Linked DNA regions of Xenopus tropicalis. The protein of the gene in region 1 interacts with the protein of each later gene in a biochemical or structural test. Links are inferred from orthologs where the notes say so. Each region holds a gene or a part of one and is shown in the gene's direction. Other genes may lie near its edges. The genes, in order: tmpo and lmnb1.

Region 1 (4,469 bases):
TCACATATATATCTATATTTACCAATATCTAAATATTTGTAGATTTTAGTATCACAATAGCTTTGGATACTATGCTTGTTCAAGAAATCATCCAAGCCCCTCTTAAAGGCATTAACAGAATCTGCCATTACAACATCACTGCCCTCACCGTGAAACCCACCTACACTGCTTCAAATGAAAGTTTTGTTCCTCTAATATAACAGGTGGCTTCTGGTGCATTGATTGTTTTTATGGGAAAAAAAGATCCCCTTGCTATCTGTCTATAATCCCCTCTAATGTACTTGTATAGAGTAATCATGTCCCCTTGCAAGTGCCTTTTTTCCAGAGAACACTAATCCTACCTTGATAGTCTAACCTCATAGTTTAAATCTTTCAACCCTTTTACCAGTTTAGTTGCACATCCTTGCACTCTCTCCAGCTCATTAATATCCTTCTCTAAGGAGAATGAAAGGCAACAGCTAATTAAGCAAGGTCTATGTAAATGCAGCCACAGAAAAGCTACACTGAGTCCTCTATCAAAAGAAACAGAGGATTTAATTTCTACTTTTGTGTACAAACATTCTTCAGTATCAGACTTCCTTCTCTCAGAAAAATCCTTCAGGCCACGGCCTGAGTCTGCTCAATTTTCTTATTTCTCCTATTCTCTTCTCCTGTTCCCCTCCTATTATCTCTCACTCCAACTGTGCTGTTACCAGCAGCCAAAGCTGCAACACAGAAGTTAAGACCAAGCTAAAACAGAGGGGGGTTCTAGGGTTCTAGAGCTGTTTACTCAGGTACTGTAGCTTTCTGCAGAATAAATACAGTGTTCTAGCTTGCACACTTGTGGCTAATCTATTGCCAATAAAATGCCTTTTCATGCATATTCAAGGTATGGCCTAGGAAACCTATAAAGAGGCAAAATAATGTTTAATACTTTGAGTAAATGCCTTTTTAATGCAAGACAGCACTTTATCTCCTTTAAAAAAATCACCTTCTCTATAAAGAATCTACCAACACACAACTACACTATGTACCAAGTGCATAACTTTGCATTTATCAGCACTGAACCTGGTTTTCCATTTTGATCCTGTTTTCCAAATCTGTCACATCTACCTGCAAAGTGACAGCATCCTACATAGGAATTTAGTACCATCAGCAAATACAGAAAGCGTACTTTCAACGCCCACCTCTAGGTCTTTAAAAACAAGTTAAACATGAAATAAATGTTTCTAAACATGTAAATAAAACATGGCAAACACTGCCCTAACGCTCGTTAACATGAGCTAGTTGCCTATACGAGTTGTAATGGTGCTTAGGAAGCACCTAGCGGAGCCATTCACATAAAGGCGGGCCCTCAATCCCCCCCACCCTATCTCAGCTCACACTGTGCTGTGAAAGGCCGCGCTGTCGATTGTTTTTTAAAGAAAGTCCCCAGCCAATGATTTGTTCTTTTGGTTTGTCCGCCAGCCAATGGCGGCGCGCTTTGTTGCGCTACATCGTCGAATGTAGTGCGACCGTTGCCACTGAGCAGACTGTTTCCGTTTTGATTCCCCCCTCTCATCCTGTTCATTGGAAGCTCCTCTCATTGTTTTGTGTTCGCCGTGATAGGGGTTCTACATTGAGGGGAGACGGCAGCGCTGCACCATGCCAGAGTTTCTGCAAGACCCGTCAGTACTCACTAAGGATAAGCTCAAGAGCGAGTTGGTGGCGAACAACGTGACTTTGCCGAGCGGGGAGCAGCGGAAAGATGTGTACGTGCAACTGTACCTCCAGCACCTCACCTCCCAGAACCGCAGCACCCCAGACTTCTCCAGTGACGAGGAGAGGGAGGCCACCCCTGTGAGAGGCAGAGGCCGCCCCCCGGGAAGGGTAAGAAGCTAAAGTGAAGCCCATTGTGCCCCGTGTGACCGCTCTGGCACTTCTGCAACTCTATCACCTGTACAACTCTATCACTGAATCTGTTCCAAAGCCTCAGGGGCCGCAAGAGGGACAGGTGCGCTAGGCACAATGGCTGCCTCTTGGTAAATAAATGGGGCTGGAGCTCGCAGTTCTGTTAGCCGGCATACAGTTTGGCTTCTATCAAGTGTCTCAGGCTAGGTGCTGGGCGCTATTCCCATCATTCGCAGCAAGCTGTTAGAAGCTGTAACGCCAAGCAGGGAGGAAGGACTGCACTTTAGAGGGGTTTGTTCGGGCGAGTAAATGGCCAGATTGCCATTTTATTTTGTGGCCGAGGTAATGTTTAGTTTACAATCAAGCTAATGAGAATCCCCGGATTGGGTTTCCCGCCGCCTGCCGTGACCGAGCGCCCCCTACTGCCCACACATCTCTTTATTCTTCCCGCTTTTTTCCACCCGGGTAGTTTTTATGCCAAAACCTTCCCGTGAAGTCATCATCCTAATAAATGAAGTGGCTGTGTTATGATTTGGAACGCGTTTCCTTTATCTAAGACAACCTTTATATCACTGTCTCTATATGCAACTCATTTCTGCGCTGCTGCAATATTGTGCCAGGTATCCTTAGTCGCATCAATAATCGGTACCCTTGGAAGTTAAAAAGATATATATTTTTTATCTGGCTTGAAACGGTGTAGCCAAAGCTAGTTCCCCAGGTCTGTATCACCTAGTTTGTTACATTGTTTCAGAGGGCACAGTTGGTTTTGCAAGGGATATAAGGGTGAAGACACACTGAGTTACTAGTAGCAGCTACTTTTTCACTGCTACTAAACGCCAAAAAATCCCCTGCCATGGATTATACTGAGAATTGCCTCTGCTAAAACACATGTTGAAACAATTATCAGTAAATGATCAGCATTGTCTATTTAAGTAGCTGCTACTAGTAGCTCCATGTGTCTTCACTCTAAACAGCCTGACTATCAACAAACAAATGTTGCTGTATATGGTGCTTAAAGAAGTGCATTTTCTTTCATTATTAACAGTTAAACAGTGGATGAAATATTAAAGGCAGAGGAACTCAATATAGCATTGGCATGTACAGAGGGGTACTCATGTCTCTGGTTGTTTTAACAGTGTCCGGTGCTTGTCAGACATGTACGTCCATAGCCTAAATAATCAGGCACATACTGGTTTCTTATAAAACAGTTATATATGTTTAGTGTCCTGATCTTATCAAATGTCTATTGATAAGAACAATCGCGAAATGAAGCCAGACACTTCTTTAAATATGCACTCAGTACTGACACTAATACTTTGACAAACTGGCCAGTCTCATGTAAAGTGTCATGTATGGTTGGCATTAGTGTAGATGTATACAATGTTCTGAGCACCATAATGAGGCAAATAAGCTTATCAAAGAATGGGGTACTTCAAACTTTTATCCTGGTACATGGGATTTATGTTGTTAGTGATCTGATAATGTCTTATGTGAAACGTATTTGTAGAAATGTGGGTTTTTTGTTCGCTTATAATTGTATGTTGTGATAGTTTGAATACTGAAAAACTGGGTTAATATGTATTAAAACTGTGAAGTCAAACTTCACTTATCATATTGAAACTTGATGTGCATTTACACAGGGTACAACAAATATATATTCTGCTCCAACCACTATTGAGTACTTTTTTTTCTGGTAAATTGTCAAAACCAATTTAAAATGAGACTCTTCAAAAAAACTACGCTCACCACTTTGCAAGGTTGGCCCGAGTGCCTTGTCCCTGATCCTTCACTGAAGGCGAGCCCTTCTGTAACTGTTCATAAAAAAAAATATGCTCGCATGGCCATTCACCACTCTGTTCCAATAGTCTGGGTGCAGTGCCTCAGACCTGTAGTATGGAGGTGACCCAGCAGTCAAAAGCACAATAGGGGTAATTTATAATGACTGGGCAAATTTGCACCTGGGCAGTAACCATGGCAACCAATCAGGTATTTGCTTTTATTGCTGAATTTGTTGCTGGATGAAAAAAAGCTAATAACTGATTGTTTACTATAGGTTACTGCCCAGGTGCAAATTTGCCCAGTCTTTATAAAAACCCTCATTATTTTTGGCCCGATGTCGCCAAGCGAACAGATCTTCTCCCGATATCCCCCACCTACGGGTGGGCGATATCGGGAGAATCCAGGGTAATTCGATCATTTGGCCCTGGGGCCAACAAACGAATTATAATGGCGGGCATAGACAAAGTCAGTCCGGGGGCCACATCAACGATCCGATGTGGTCCCCGATCCAACTAGATTTTCTAACCTGGCCGATCGAGATCTGGCTGATTTCAGGCCAGATATCGGTCGGGCAGGCCCGTCGGGAGTGCCCATACACGGGCCGATTAGCTGCCGAATTGGTCCAAGGGACCGATATCGGCAGCTACTATTGGTCCGTGTATGGGGACCTTTAGAGCTAAAAAGGTGATAAAGCCATAGTAAACATACATTTGATATAAATCAAAAAGCTGTATGTTGTAATCATGATATAAAATCTAATTTGTAATGTATCTTAATTTATTGGACAGAATTATCTGCTCTTTTCATGTTTAGGGGCCAGA
Region 2 (4,435 bases), on another chromosome or scaffold:
ATGTGCCCCCAAATCATCAGTGGCTGATATGGTGAAGTCAAAAACAACAAATACTGCACTACATGACCAGTGTTGTTACCAGAATACAACAAATGCACATTGGACTGCCATGAGCTATTGTCCCGAAATCTAACTACAAATCCCAGGTGCTGAATGAGATTATCGTGTAGGGTGGTTATGTTCCTTCTAATGCAAATTTGGTAATGTAACCAACCGTCATACTGTATATTACATATCCGGAACTTCATATTTTCAGGATGTTATGTATGTATTCACAGCAAGGACGTTATGGCAGAGATTTATTTAAAATATATTTTATCTTGTTGTGTGATTGTGCCTAAATTGTTTGAGATCATGTTGTCAGAAGCTGTTCTTTGGATAAATGTAAAATAGCTCTTTATGTGATTGGGGAGTCTGGTACATAATTTAACTTTAGTATTCTGCGTGCTTTGGTTTCTTTTTAGTTAATGATAATAAAAGTTATATTTTTATGCATGTTGTTGCTATGCCTGCTGTGGCAAGCTCTATGATTTTGGGGGGGATTATTCCTCCCTCAAAAACTTTCTTTTTGGGTATTTGTTTTTCAGTGTTTACAATAAGGACCATAGGATTGTAAACTCCGTTGGGGAAGGGACTGATGGGAGCCATGTAGACTATGTAAGGCACTATAGCATATGTTGGTGTGAAATAAAATTAAGGACACTTATAAAGGATGGGGACTACAGTGACATTGAGTGAAACCAGTCTACACCAGAGAGTAAAACAACAGGTAGTGTCATTAAACATCTACTGGCTCCCCAGCACTGTAACACGACCATGGAAGATACATTCCTTTCTCAAAGCTATTTTGCTTTAGGGGCTGGGGCCCTGTCACAGCAACGGACAAGCCCGGCCCACTCAGAATGTTATTGTTATTTTGAGCAGTTATGGTTTTTATAAAAGGGTCACAAAAGACACATCCACCATGATTGTCTTTATTGAACCCAATGGATTTTTAAATATCTTACTGCTTTACTATATATTAATACGTTTTTTTTTACTAGTGAATGTTCCTAACAAACTGTATATATAGTACAGTAACAGGCCACTGAGGGCGGGGGTAATTTTGCGAGCGCTATAGGGCTCTCAAACAGCGACTGACGACTATGTGGTCACTACAAAAGAACGCTAACCCTAGATCGCGCAGTATGAAGCAGAGGGATATCAGTCGTATTAAACAGGCGGCGGTGCAGCTCCCTCGCCCATTGTGTGCAGCGCCTCACCCCCATCACATACACCGCACCCTCCCTTCCCTATTATCATGTTCAATTTGAATTTAGTCTCAGGGAAACAAAGTGGGCGCGTCCTGCTGTGTGATTGGCGGGGCGCAGCACGTGACCTTTCTGGCGCCATATTGAGGCCGAGCCTGTGGCAGTGTGTGAGGCGCTGAGTGGGGGAGGTGCTGTGCGAGTGCATGTGCGGGGGATTCGCTGCAAAATTACCCATTCGATTGTATGCACATTTTACATTTTAATCCTTGCGGGGTTTTTCAATTTTAAAAAGTACTTGTATTTTAGACTGCGTGTGCTACTACGGGTGGAGTGCCCAGGAGGGGAAAGTTTGCAGGCAGTGCGGCGGTGAGTGTGTGTCGGCCGTCAAGTATAAAGGAGAGTTTAGCCTGAGAACCGGTACCGTCGCTCTTTTATATAACCATTAGAAGAAGCCAACTGTGCAATGGCCACCGCCACGCCAAGCGGCCCCAGGAGCTCCGGCCGTCGAAGCAGCATGAACACCCCGCTCAGCCCGACTCGTATCAGCCGCCTGCAGGAGAAAGTGGATCTGCAGGAGCTGAATGACCGCTTGGCCGTGTATATAGACAAGGTGCGCAGCCTGGAGAGCGAGAATAGCCTGCTCCATGTACAGGTCACCGAGCGGGAAGAGGTGCGGAGCCGGGAAGTGAGCGGCATCAAGGAGCTGTATGAGACCGAGCTGGCCGATGCCCGCAGGAGCCTGGATGACACTGCCCGGGAGAGAGCCCGCCTGCAGCTGGAGCTCAGTAAGATCTCCGTGGAACATGAGGATCTCCGTGCCAGGTCAGTACCAGGTCCTGCTGTGGAACTACAACTCCCATCACCCCCCTCCTCGCTTTTGTTATAGTTCTGCCGGCTGGAATTCCCTGCCCTATACCCGCAGTGTACAAAGACACGGTTCCATATGGGGGAAGGCAATGTAATCAAAAGACAGGGCTAGTTAGCTTGGCTCCTGCTGCCCTGGCAATCAGTGCCCTGCCAGAACCCTCTCCAGGCTAGTCCATGGACATAACAACCTTCCCTGTGGCTGAGTGATGGGCATAATTCTGTATCTAATCGTTTTCTTCTGCAGCTACCCAAGGGGCAGTAAAAGCTATGTGCAACTATAACTCTTATTGAAAGTGCTGTCCTTTACTATTCTCTGCCCTAGTGACACTGACATTGGGAACAATGTAGCAGAAGCCAGTTGGGAAGAAGATGGCAAGGCTGGCTTCTGCTAGATTTTTTCAAAAGCACTAGCAATGTACAGAAGGGAACTCTTTCAGTTCCAATTACACTTAATGGTTTCTGTAAGATCAGTGGAATTTTGTAATGAATGTATATTTGTATAGAATTATCTTTAAGTCCAATATGTTTGGCTTTACATCCCCTTTAATTGTAGATCTTGTGCTAAAATCCAGGTTAGTGTCTGTTGTCCCCTTGCTCATTAGAGACGGATGGGAGGAACTGCAAAGTATTTTCAGCCTGGGTTGCATAGATCTAGATGCCCATATCAAATATGTGCTCTGGAAATTCTGCAGTCACTTGGTGTTTGGGGTTAATCTTGGTTGTAGTAAACGCCCATTATTCATTCTCCCGCTTACCAACAAATTTTAGCTCAAAGGGGGTGGCCTTTAAAATCCTCTGGAACATCCTCCTTTGAGCAGGTGTCTGTTAATGAGGGAGGGGCTGTTTCTTAGCTCCTCTTGGCAGACTGTCGTCCCTTACGATTGGTTATCCTACAGTAAAATATGCACATGGGAGTGGCAGGGGAGCAACCATTTTCAGTGTAATAGTGAGATTTCCCACTTTATCTTGCTTGTTCTGTGTTTCGTTCATGTTGTCGGTTTTGTGCCATTCTCTTAGTGGCGTGAATTTGATCCCCTTAATCTGCCGTGATTCATTCATTGCGAGCCAGAAAACAACTTCACTCTGCAAAACCCTAACATATTTAATTTCCTTCCTGCGGTGCAAAGCTGCTGGCTTCCTTTTGGCGCTAATTTCATGTATAGACTTCCGCAAGTGATGCATATTAAGTTCTTAATGCATGACTTAAAGAAACAACTTTCAAATGCCTTTTGATTGCCGAGTTCTACAGAAGTATCTTTAAATTGTAGATGATAAAGTAATTGCTCACTTTTGCCTTTCAACTAATTCCTTTAGCTTATGGGAGATGTCCCCCCAAAGCCTTTTTTTTTTTTTTTTTTTTTTTGTAATTCTAAGCACCTTTCCATTATGACCCAACTTTTAAAAGATTGAATGTTTAATTCATTTAAAATGTAAATTCAGTTTAAATGTATCTCAGGTTCTGATTCCTGAAAAATTAGCAGAATATAAACGGGCAGGCGGATACTACCGATGCTATATTGCTGGATCATATGTCGGGATTTACTTATTTACTGACCTATTCCTATTCCAGCCATCCCTGCCCCCAGCTATGGTCTGACAAGTAAAGAGTCAGATCTGTCACTCACTGGGCTAGGCTGGTGCAATCCTTCAGTAGACTGGAGTGCTGTTTAGGTTTGTACTGGAGCCTATAGGAGGATCACTGTGTCCCAGCACAGCTTGACTGACAGGTCTGACCATCTGTGACCTGCACACAGTTTAGGTCCTTTAAATGTCAAACCTTTAGGTAATGCTGGGCTGGGATTCCAATTTCTTAAAAAAAAAAAAAGTGTCTAACACTTTACGGTCATTAGAAATTGGTTCACTAACAATAATGGGGCACCAGGTTCCTTTAGGAAATCCTGGTCCCCTATTATAATCCATAATGATGAGTTTAGAATTTACATCTCTCTAGATTTTGAGAGGACATCTGGAGATAGGTTAAGCAAGGAATGTAAAGAATCTTTTTTTTAATTTTCCGTTATTCTTCCACCACTTTATGAAGTCCAGGGTTGGTGATGTTTAAATTCAAGTAGTTCCATAGTCGCTCTTTGCAGCATTTTGTGGCAGCATATTTCTACTGAATAGTCAGACACCCTGTTTATAGTGGTTCATTATATGTTGGTTTGGGTCAGGCTGCAGTGTTGGGCAGGTATTTGTTTCCCTTGTCCAGACATATTAATGCAGCAAAAAGCGATCCTTTTCATTGTATTAGTGCTTAATCTTAGTCTATGAAGGAGGTTGCTCTACCATGTAAATGAGTTGGATACAGTCTTTTGCTT

Evidence for each region.
Region 2: the proteins of tmpo (region 1) and lmnb1 form a complex in vitro, tested with the Homo sapiens proteins (2 studies listed by BioGRID). The link is inferred for Xenopus tropicalis from reciprocal best matches to the Homo sapiens genes TMPO and LMNB1.

Annotation. Positions count from the first base shown.
Region 1 is NC_030679.2:51,508,369-51,512,837, forward strand, and holds the start of tmpo (thymopoietin), read left to right. Parts: upstream 1-1,550; 5' UTR 1,551-1,623; coding exon 1,624-1,848; intron 1,849-4,469. UniProt on the Homo sapiens protein: May help direct the assembly of the nuclear lamina and thereby help maintain the structural organization of the nuclear envelope. Possible receptor for attachment of lamin filaments to the inner nuclear membrane.
Region 2 is NC_030677.2:168,270,466-168,274,900, reverse strand, and holds the start of lmnb1 (lamin-B1), read left to right. Parts: upstream 1-1,486; 5' UTR 1,487-1,713; coding exon 1,714-2,072; intron 2,073-4,435. UniProt on the Homo sapiens protein: Lamins are intermediate filament proteins that assemble into a filamentous meshwork, and which constitute the major components of the nuclear lamina, a fibrous layer on the nucleoplasmic side of the inner nuclear membrane.